Nothobranchius furzeri: one gene and its partner. The protein of the gene in region 2 interacts with the protein of the main gene of each other region in a biochemical or structural test. Links are inferred from orthologs where the notes say so. Each region holds a gene or a part of one and is shown on either strand. Other genes may lie near its edges.

Region 1 (4,163 bases), on a different chromosome or scaffold from region 2:
TTGTTCAGGGCCATCCAGTCCCTTTACCAGAGGAGCGTGAGTTTGGTCCGCATAGCCGGTAGTAAGTTGGACCTGTTCCCGGTGAGGGTTGGACTCCGCCAGGGCTGCCCTTTGTCACCGGTTCTGTTCATTACCTTTCTGGACAGAATTTCTAGGCGCAACCGTGGTGTGGAGTGTGTCGAGTTTGGTGGCAGGAGAATCTCGTCTCTGCTTTTTGCAGATTATGTGGTCCTCCTATCTTCATCCAGCTCTGACCTTCAGCTCTTGCTGGGTAGGTTCGCGGCCGAGTGTGAAGCGGCTGGAATGAGGATCAGCACCTCCAAATCTGAGACCATGGTTCCCGACCGGGAAAGGGTGGCTTGCCAACTCCGGATCGGGAGAGATGTCCTACCTCAAGTGGAGGAGTTTAAGTATCTCGGGGTCTTGTTCACGAGTGAGGGTAGGAGGGATCGGGAGATCGACAGGCGGATTGGTTCAGCATCTGCAGTGATGCGGACGCTGAGCCGATCTGTCATGGTGAAGAGGGAGCTGAGCCAGAAAGCCAGGCTCTCGATTTACCGGTCGATCTACGTCCCAATCCTCACCTATGGTAATGAGCTTTGGGTAATGACCGAAAGAACGAGATTGTGAATTAAAGCAGCCATAATGAGTTTCCTCCGTAGGGTGGCCGGGCTCAGCCTTAGAGATAGGGTGAGGAGCTCGGACATTTGGGAGGGACTTGGAGTAGAACCGCTGCTCCTCCGGATCGAAAGGAGTCAGTTGAGGTGGTTTGGGCATCTGGTCAGGGGAGATGTTTCGGGCATGTCCTGCCGGCAGGAGGCCCCCGGGTCGACCCAGGACACGTTGGAGACGTTACATCTCCAATCTGGTCCGGGAACGCCTTGGGGTCCTGCCGGAGGAACTGGTGGAGGTGGCTGGAGACAGGAAGGTCTGGAGTTCCCTAGTTGGGATGCTGCCCCCGCGACCCGGACCGGTTAAGCGGAGGAAGACGACGATGACGACGAGTAGTATATAAATACATTTTCCTTTTTAAAATTTTATTTACCGGTTTGCTTCCTGTTTTGTGTGTTTGTTATGTTTGGTTCAAGTTTATGAAATTGCTGATCCCACATAGTAAGGGGAAATTAAAAATGCACCCTAAACAAACGGTCAGGACTCAAGAAGTTAACTGAGCCACATGTAGCATGTATAATCTAATATGATTATGAACTGGATGTATTGCTTAATGTATAGTGTTGTGAATTGGTCCAGTATAAATAAAATGAACTACGTTTATTTTATTTTATTTTATTTGCATTATTAGAGGTGAACATCACATTTTTTGCAGATTTTATTTGCTTGTCTTTACCGAGAAAAAAACACTTATTTGTGTAGAATTTAAAAAGTTAACGTTTTGATAGAGTTTTTGCTATCTTTTATCCATTTGATTATGTTATGCTGGCCTGTTTATTCCTTTTTCAATCTGATATTTCCTTTTACGCCGCTAGATGGCAGCAATACAGTTTATAAGGAGAGAGCTGCAGCTTAATCTTTCAGAAGAAGAATGAAAACGTCATTTTTAAGAGACAAAAGTTGTCTGAGGACATGACTTTTTGAATGACTGCTGTTGGCTTTGTAAATAACACGAATTATCGCCCCATTTCCATAATGTTGGCTTTTAAACGCATCTCTAGCAGCACAATAATCTCCGCTCTTCGCTACAACCGAGTACATATTTTTAAATTGGTTCTACTTTGTAGTTTGGTGAGTTCATGAAGCTTCGTGTATCTCATTTGTTTTCTCATGTCTGGTTTCCGCTCAGATGCAGAGATGTCTGTCCACTCAGACAGACGGAGAGGTTCGCATCGCAGAAGTCTTGAAGGAGAAGTTTCCTTTAGCATCAAAGCTCAAAGTTGTGGATATATCAGGTAATCCATTGTGCTAAAACGTTTAGCATCGTCATATGTTGTTCTGAATGACATTAGTTATATTTGACACCAGTTACACATAAAACTTAGCATAGATTTATACATGACAGATACTTATTCAAGCGTTGAAGCGGAATAAATTACTAACCTTTCTTGTTTTCGTGTGTATTTCAGGAACTAAACACAGTTGCTGGCTTATTACTGCTATAGATGCATGGATAGATACATAAAAATTTCATTGTAATTAAAAAACCTACCAGTTTTTGTACAATAACGCGGTTACATACTCTTAGTAACTGACTATCATTTTGTGTTAGGTGGCTGCGGGGCCATGTATGAGATCCATGTAGAATCCAGTGAGTTCAAAGGGAAAAGAACAGTGCAGCAGCACCAGCTAGTCAATCAGGTAACTATTCAGGCTTGCTGTTACAGCATCAAGATAATGGCAAGTAAAAATCAATGAGTCACAGGGTATTCTTCTTACACAACCCAGTCACCAAAAAGCTGATGTGTGTGTCTCCACACAATTTGCCAATACTAGAAAACGTTGTATTTATTTAAATGTAAAGTTATGAATTATTATTATTATTATTATTATTATTATTACTATTACTAGCCTAACGTGATTGCTTTTCCTTTTTTTGTGCAAACATAACATTGCATAATTGGCTTTTCTTTTCAAATGAACTTCTAGCAAAATTATAAAAGTTTAAATGAACATTTTTAAAGCTGGCCGGCCTCATGTGGGGATCTGGGCGGGGCCTTGGGGGTCAGGTCCTGACATGTATGTCGAGGGAGACCCGTGATTATCGCTTTGTCGCGCATGTCTCATTGAAAATGAATGGAGTAGAGGCGATGTCGCCTCCCGTGTGTCGAGCCTATAAATCTGTAAGGCTTGTCACCAGCATTCAGACATTAATTCTGTTTGCTTCACAGCCAGACAGGACACGGGGAAAAAAATAAAAATTTTAAAGTTAATCAGACTCCCCAGTTTTTGGTGATGTCTCTATTAGCAACAGTTATGCTTGTTGGGTCAAAACAAACAAGCCTATATTTTCATTTATTACAATATTATAAGCTGTCATAAAGTAATTTATAATGAAACATGCACTCATGCTGCAAATTGTTTGTATTTTACCATCAAAGTTTGTGAGATTTTTAAGATTATTTTCACATCTGTTGGTGAATTATAATTTGCTTCTTGATTTAATTGACTGTTGTCTTATGTTCTTCACAGGCACTCAAGGATGAAATTCAAGGCATGCATGGCCTGCGAATATTCACTGACATCCCAAAACAGTAGAAAAACTGCCTCCTCTATTTATCTGCACCGTTTTCTTTGATGTTTATCTGATGAGATTGTAAAGCCTTAGACGGGCAGAATGCCGTTTCCCTGCAGTTACAACATATTGATAGTTAAAAATGTAAAATACATGTATAGTTATCTTTTTTAAACAACATAGTTATAATAAGACATCTTCTATTCTGAGATAATTTTATTGGATCAAGGCTGATATACGCACAAAAGTGACTTGTCCAAAGGTCAATATTAAGGCTTGAAGGATTTGTTCCCATTGGGAATCCTATGTTTAATTGAAATGATGCTGGTGTTAAACTAGCAGTCAAAGCAGCAAAAGACACCATCATCATGAGCAGCTACAGACATATTCTTTAAGCTATCATCCTGAGAATGTGACCACAGTTTGTTTTATTATAAAATATACCAACATGTGTGCACAAACTATGTGTTTGTCATTTAAGTGTTGAAGGTTGACTGCAATATTGCATAGACATCGGGGGCAGTTCCACTGGATTGGCAGACCGGGGTGGTGGTCCCTCTATTTAAAAAGGAGGACTGCTGGATGTGTTCCAACTACAGGGGGATCACACTCCTGAGCCTCCCTGGTAAGGTCTATTCAGGGTTCTGGAGTGGAGGGTTCATTGGATTGTCGAACCTCGGATTCAGGAGGAACAAGGTGGTTTTCATCCTGACCGTGGAGCACTGGACCAGCTCTATACCCTTGGGGGTCTTGGAGGGTGCGTGCATGGGAGTTCGCCCAACCAATCAACATGTGTTTTGTGGATTTGGAGAAGGCGTTTGACCGCGTCCGTCAGGGGGCCCTGTGGGGGGGTACTCCATTAGTATGGGTTACCAGGTACTCTGATACGAGTTGTTAGGTCCCTGTATGACCGGTGTCAGAGCTTGGTCTGCATTGTAAGTCGGGCTCAGTCGGTGAGAGTTGGACATAGCTTCCG
Region 2 (3,625 bases):
ACCTGCCTCAAGAAAGATGAGAGCCACTGATCAGGGTCATCACCACCGTGGAAAGCAGGAGACTGTCCAAGGAACATCGCACATGAAGCTCCAGATCCTCCAGAAGCCATGCCTTTTAATCCCTGGAGTTGCTTTCTGCAGCCTTTTGGAGCCCACAGGTGACGAGTTTCACCAGGAGCAGAGACAAGGCTGCAAAACCCCCAAATATAGACACTTATTTACTGCTCAGACATGCAAAGTAAATGTTTTAAACCCAATAAAAATGGAACTCTGCACAAAACTTTTTTTCTTATTTTATTAAAAATATGGTAATCGGATTTAAAATAAAGAAAAGCTGAGCACATGTTTAGTTTAGATGCAAACATCAAGTCTTTGTACAAAGTGAATCCAAACAGATTTAATGATCTGTGTAGAAACGTCAGAGTCCAAACATGCCTGAGATCTCCATCCCCTTCCCTTTTACATGACATATATGATGTTGCTTCTCTGAGGCTTCACACACAAAACATGGCTGATGGATTCATTTCCTCCCCATGATGAAGCTGGGAACCTCGGCATCATCATCTCCCTCTTCCTCTTCTTTCTCCTCCTTCTTGTCCTCCTCGCTGCTCTCGGAGTTCTCCTCTGCCTCCTGCTGGTTTTTCTCCTCCTGTTTAGCCTTCTTCGCCAACAGTTTCTTCTGCTTCAGCTTTTCCCGCTTGTTCCTCCGCTTCGCCGTCCGCTCCTCTGCCGCCTTCTTGTTTAGCTCCACTTTTTGGAGGTACTCCTTGTCCTTGTCTTGCTTCGCGGCAACTTTATCCAGGAAGTCCTGCCTCTGGTACTCTCTGCGGCGGAGGTGCCGATAGACATGGAACTCCCCGCTGCCTGCGCCGGCGCTGGAGCCCATGACATCCCGGACGAACTCCGGCGGAGCCCGCGGGTTCCACTCCTTGGCTCGGTCCGGGATGGGAGCAGGCTTGTCGGGGTTTCGCATCAACCGCTCCAACTTTAAACGCTGTTCATCTGCCGGAGTTTTAGCTATTATTAGAGGCTGCGCCTCTTTTCCTCCAGGTTTTCCTCCGGGCTTCCCTGGCTTGTTATTTTTCTGCGTGTAGGCCGCCATCTTTGAAAATTTCTTCTTCGGCTGCTTCCGTTTCGTACAACTCACCCCGGAAGTACTTCACGACTTCGAAAGGAATTTTTGAAAAAATAAAAAAGTATGACAAGTATAACAATTACTAGTTATTTAGGTCGTAGTAAGGCTGTAATGAAAACATTAATCAATATTTAGAAAGTAATTTGCGCAACTGACGTTGAGTTTTTTTGATTGACATTTGAATAAACCAATAGTAAAGCATATTCGATTTCAGCCAAGCTCAGTTGTCCAATCAGCATCCAGATCCCGCCTCCTAAGCGTATGTGTTGACGGACGACTTTCTCTATTGCCTCTGAGCTGAACTTGTCCGTTTACTCGCCTTTAGTTTTGCTCGACGAACGACAAAACTCATAAAAGATGAACAGTTTAATTAGATCTACTGCCAGGTGTCTCCGCTCGGGCGCGGCGGTCTGTGTGCCTAGGCAAGCGGATGGACGCGTGTGGTCGGCCTCGGTCAGGTTTCTGTGCGCGGCGGCGGACCTCCAGAAGGACCTTGGTGAAATGGTGAAGAAGGACAAAGTGGTGGTGTTTATCAAAGGGACGCCAGCCCAGCCCATGTGTGGCTTCAGCAACGCGGTGGTTCAGATCCTCCGGATGCACGGAGTGGACAACTATGCTGCTTACAACGTTCTGGAGGACCAGGACCTACGAGAAGGTCGGTACAGGGGCAACAGGTTCTCCTGATACCCTCTTTAACGATTTAATCAGTGTCCTCGTTAGCTTTAGCCTTTCATTTACCAGGTCAGTTGCTGTCTTATTCAAACTAACCACACCTCTGAGATGTTTATCCTTTTATCAGAGGCATGCAGCAGGACACACGGGGTGTGGTGAACCACCACTCACATCTCAGACTCTAGGCTCTAACCAGCTCATTTATTGTGCTTTAAATCTCATATTTGCGATTAATGAATGATTCTACTTTTTCAGGAGCGTTTTTGCTCAGCATCATAACTGAGTAGATATGTCCAGATATACACCAATTCTGGTTTTTAGGGCTAATACTGATGTCTTGCTGTTCATCTCTGGCCCAAGTACAAACTTTGATATGGACTGTTTGCGACGAGTAAGCACTTCTAAATGTACAAACTGAACAACTCTAACAGAACATGCTCTATATTGTCCGGTTGTGAACTGAATTCAGATTTTTTTTTTCTGGGTACTTCTTTAAAGTTTTAATGTGCATCGTCGGTGTGTTTTGCCCTTGTTCTGCCAACTTTACATGCAATGACTTTTTCTAACGCAAGGCAACTGTTAGGCTTCAGAGGGTAAATAAAGGTTTGTTATGCGGAAGACAAAATATAAGCAGGCTCTCAGAGGGGAATATATAATATTCATATTTTTAAATATTCCAAAATGGGCTCTAATAACCTCAGAGAACATAACCTCCAGTTTTGTTAGTAACTAGTACATCTCCCTTCACTTGTGAGTACAGAAATCTACCAGATGTCCACCTTTACAGCATAGGAGCAAACCAATGATCTCTCTTCTCTAACACTAGGGGTCAAAGTCTTCTCCAACTGGCCCACTATCCCCCAGGTTTACTTCAACGGTGAGTTTGTGGGAGGCTGTGACATCCTGCTGCAGATGCACCAGAACGGAGACCTGGTGGATGAGCTGAAGAAGCTCGGCATCCGCTCGGCGCTGCTGGACGCGGAGAAGGAATCCAAGTAAAACTCCAAACGGCTGAGAGGACAGAGGACACAGTCATCACTGCCAGCTAAACTGATCATTACAAATAAACTGGCTCTGAAGATTAATGACCTGCAACTCAGCTGGTCAGTCAACGAGACAACGCAAGAATGCTGTTTCACAAGATCCGACAGCTGAGGGCTTTAATCCAAGGTCTGGGAACAGACTTCCCAGGAATTTCAGAATTCCTAACACATTTGTGCTGCTAGTTTGGGATACACAGAACCCCTAAACGCAATAATCCCATCCCGTACATGAATCTGTGTTTAAATAAATCATGGTTTTTATTTGTAATAGTTTAAAGACAGCTCATCAGCCCTCACGTTGTCCTCTGAAATCTCTGCTGTTAGACATTTTCATGAATCAGTTAAGAAAGAAAAGAAATGAGCCTCTGACTGACTGGGTCACCTAAAGCTGCCTGGACCGCACGACTGATGTCAGCTCACTTGAAACCTTCCAGATGCACTGCCTGTAGCCCGTTAGCACACAGAGCAAACGGGCCTAGGAAAGGTCTAATCACACAGTTTCTAACTGAACTACTTGCTCTTTTTGCTAAAGGTTAACATCCAGAATGTTAGGTTTTATGTTTGCCGTCACCGACCGAGGAGACGTGCCAGACCAACACGGATTCCTTCCTCCTGACTCACTTTCTGCCCAGAGGCAGTTAGCTAGTTCGATCCAAGTCCAAACTTTGTTCTTCTCCCTAAAGGAAAAGTGGTGTTATATTTTACTTTTGAGTGTTCTTAAAGATGTTCCACCTACTGCTGAGTTTATTAAACATGTAGAACACTGTAAGATATT

Evidence for each region.
Region 1: the proteins of glrx5 (region 2) and bola3 form a complex in vitro, tested with the Homo sapiens proteins (4 studies listed by BioGRID and IntAct, with this or other methods). The link is inferred for Nothobranchius furzeri from reciprocal best matches to the Homo sapiens genes GLRX5 and BOLA3.

Annotation. Positions count from the first base shown.
Region 1 is NC_091749.1:58,110,971-58,115,133, reverse strand, and holds bola3 (bolA-like protein 3), read left to right. Parts: upstream 1-1,525; 5' UTR 1,526-1,596; coding exon 1,597-1,707; intron 1,708-1,801; coding exon 1,802-1,907; intron 1,908-2,224; coding exon 2,225-2,313; intron 2,314-3,144; coding exon 3,145-3,210; 3' UTR 3,211-3,648; downstream 3,649-4,163. UniProt on the Homo sapiens protein: Acts as a mitochondrial iron-sulfur (Fe-S) cluster assembly factor that facilitates (Fe-S) cluster insertion into a subset of mitochondrial proteins. Probably acts together with NFU1.
Region 2 is NC_091742.1:17,910,908-17,914,532, reverse strand, and holds glrx5 (glutaredoxin-related protein 5, mitochondrial), read left to right. Parts: upstream 1-1,364; 5' UTR 1,365-1,492; coding exon 1,493-1,790; intron 1,791-2,633; coding exon 2,634-2,806; 3' UTR 2,807-3,111; downstream 3,112-3,625. Other genes in the region: prkrip1 (PRKR-interacting protein 1 homolog), read right to left, coding at 521-1,102.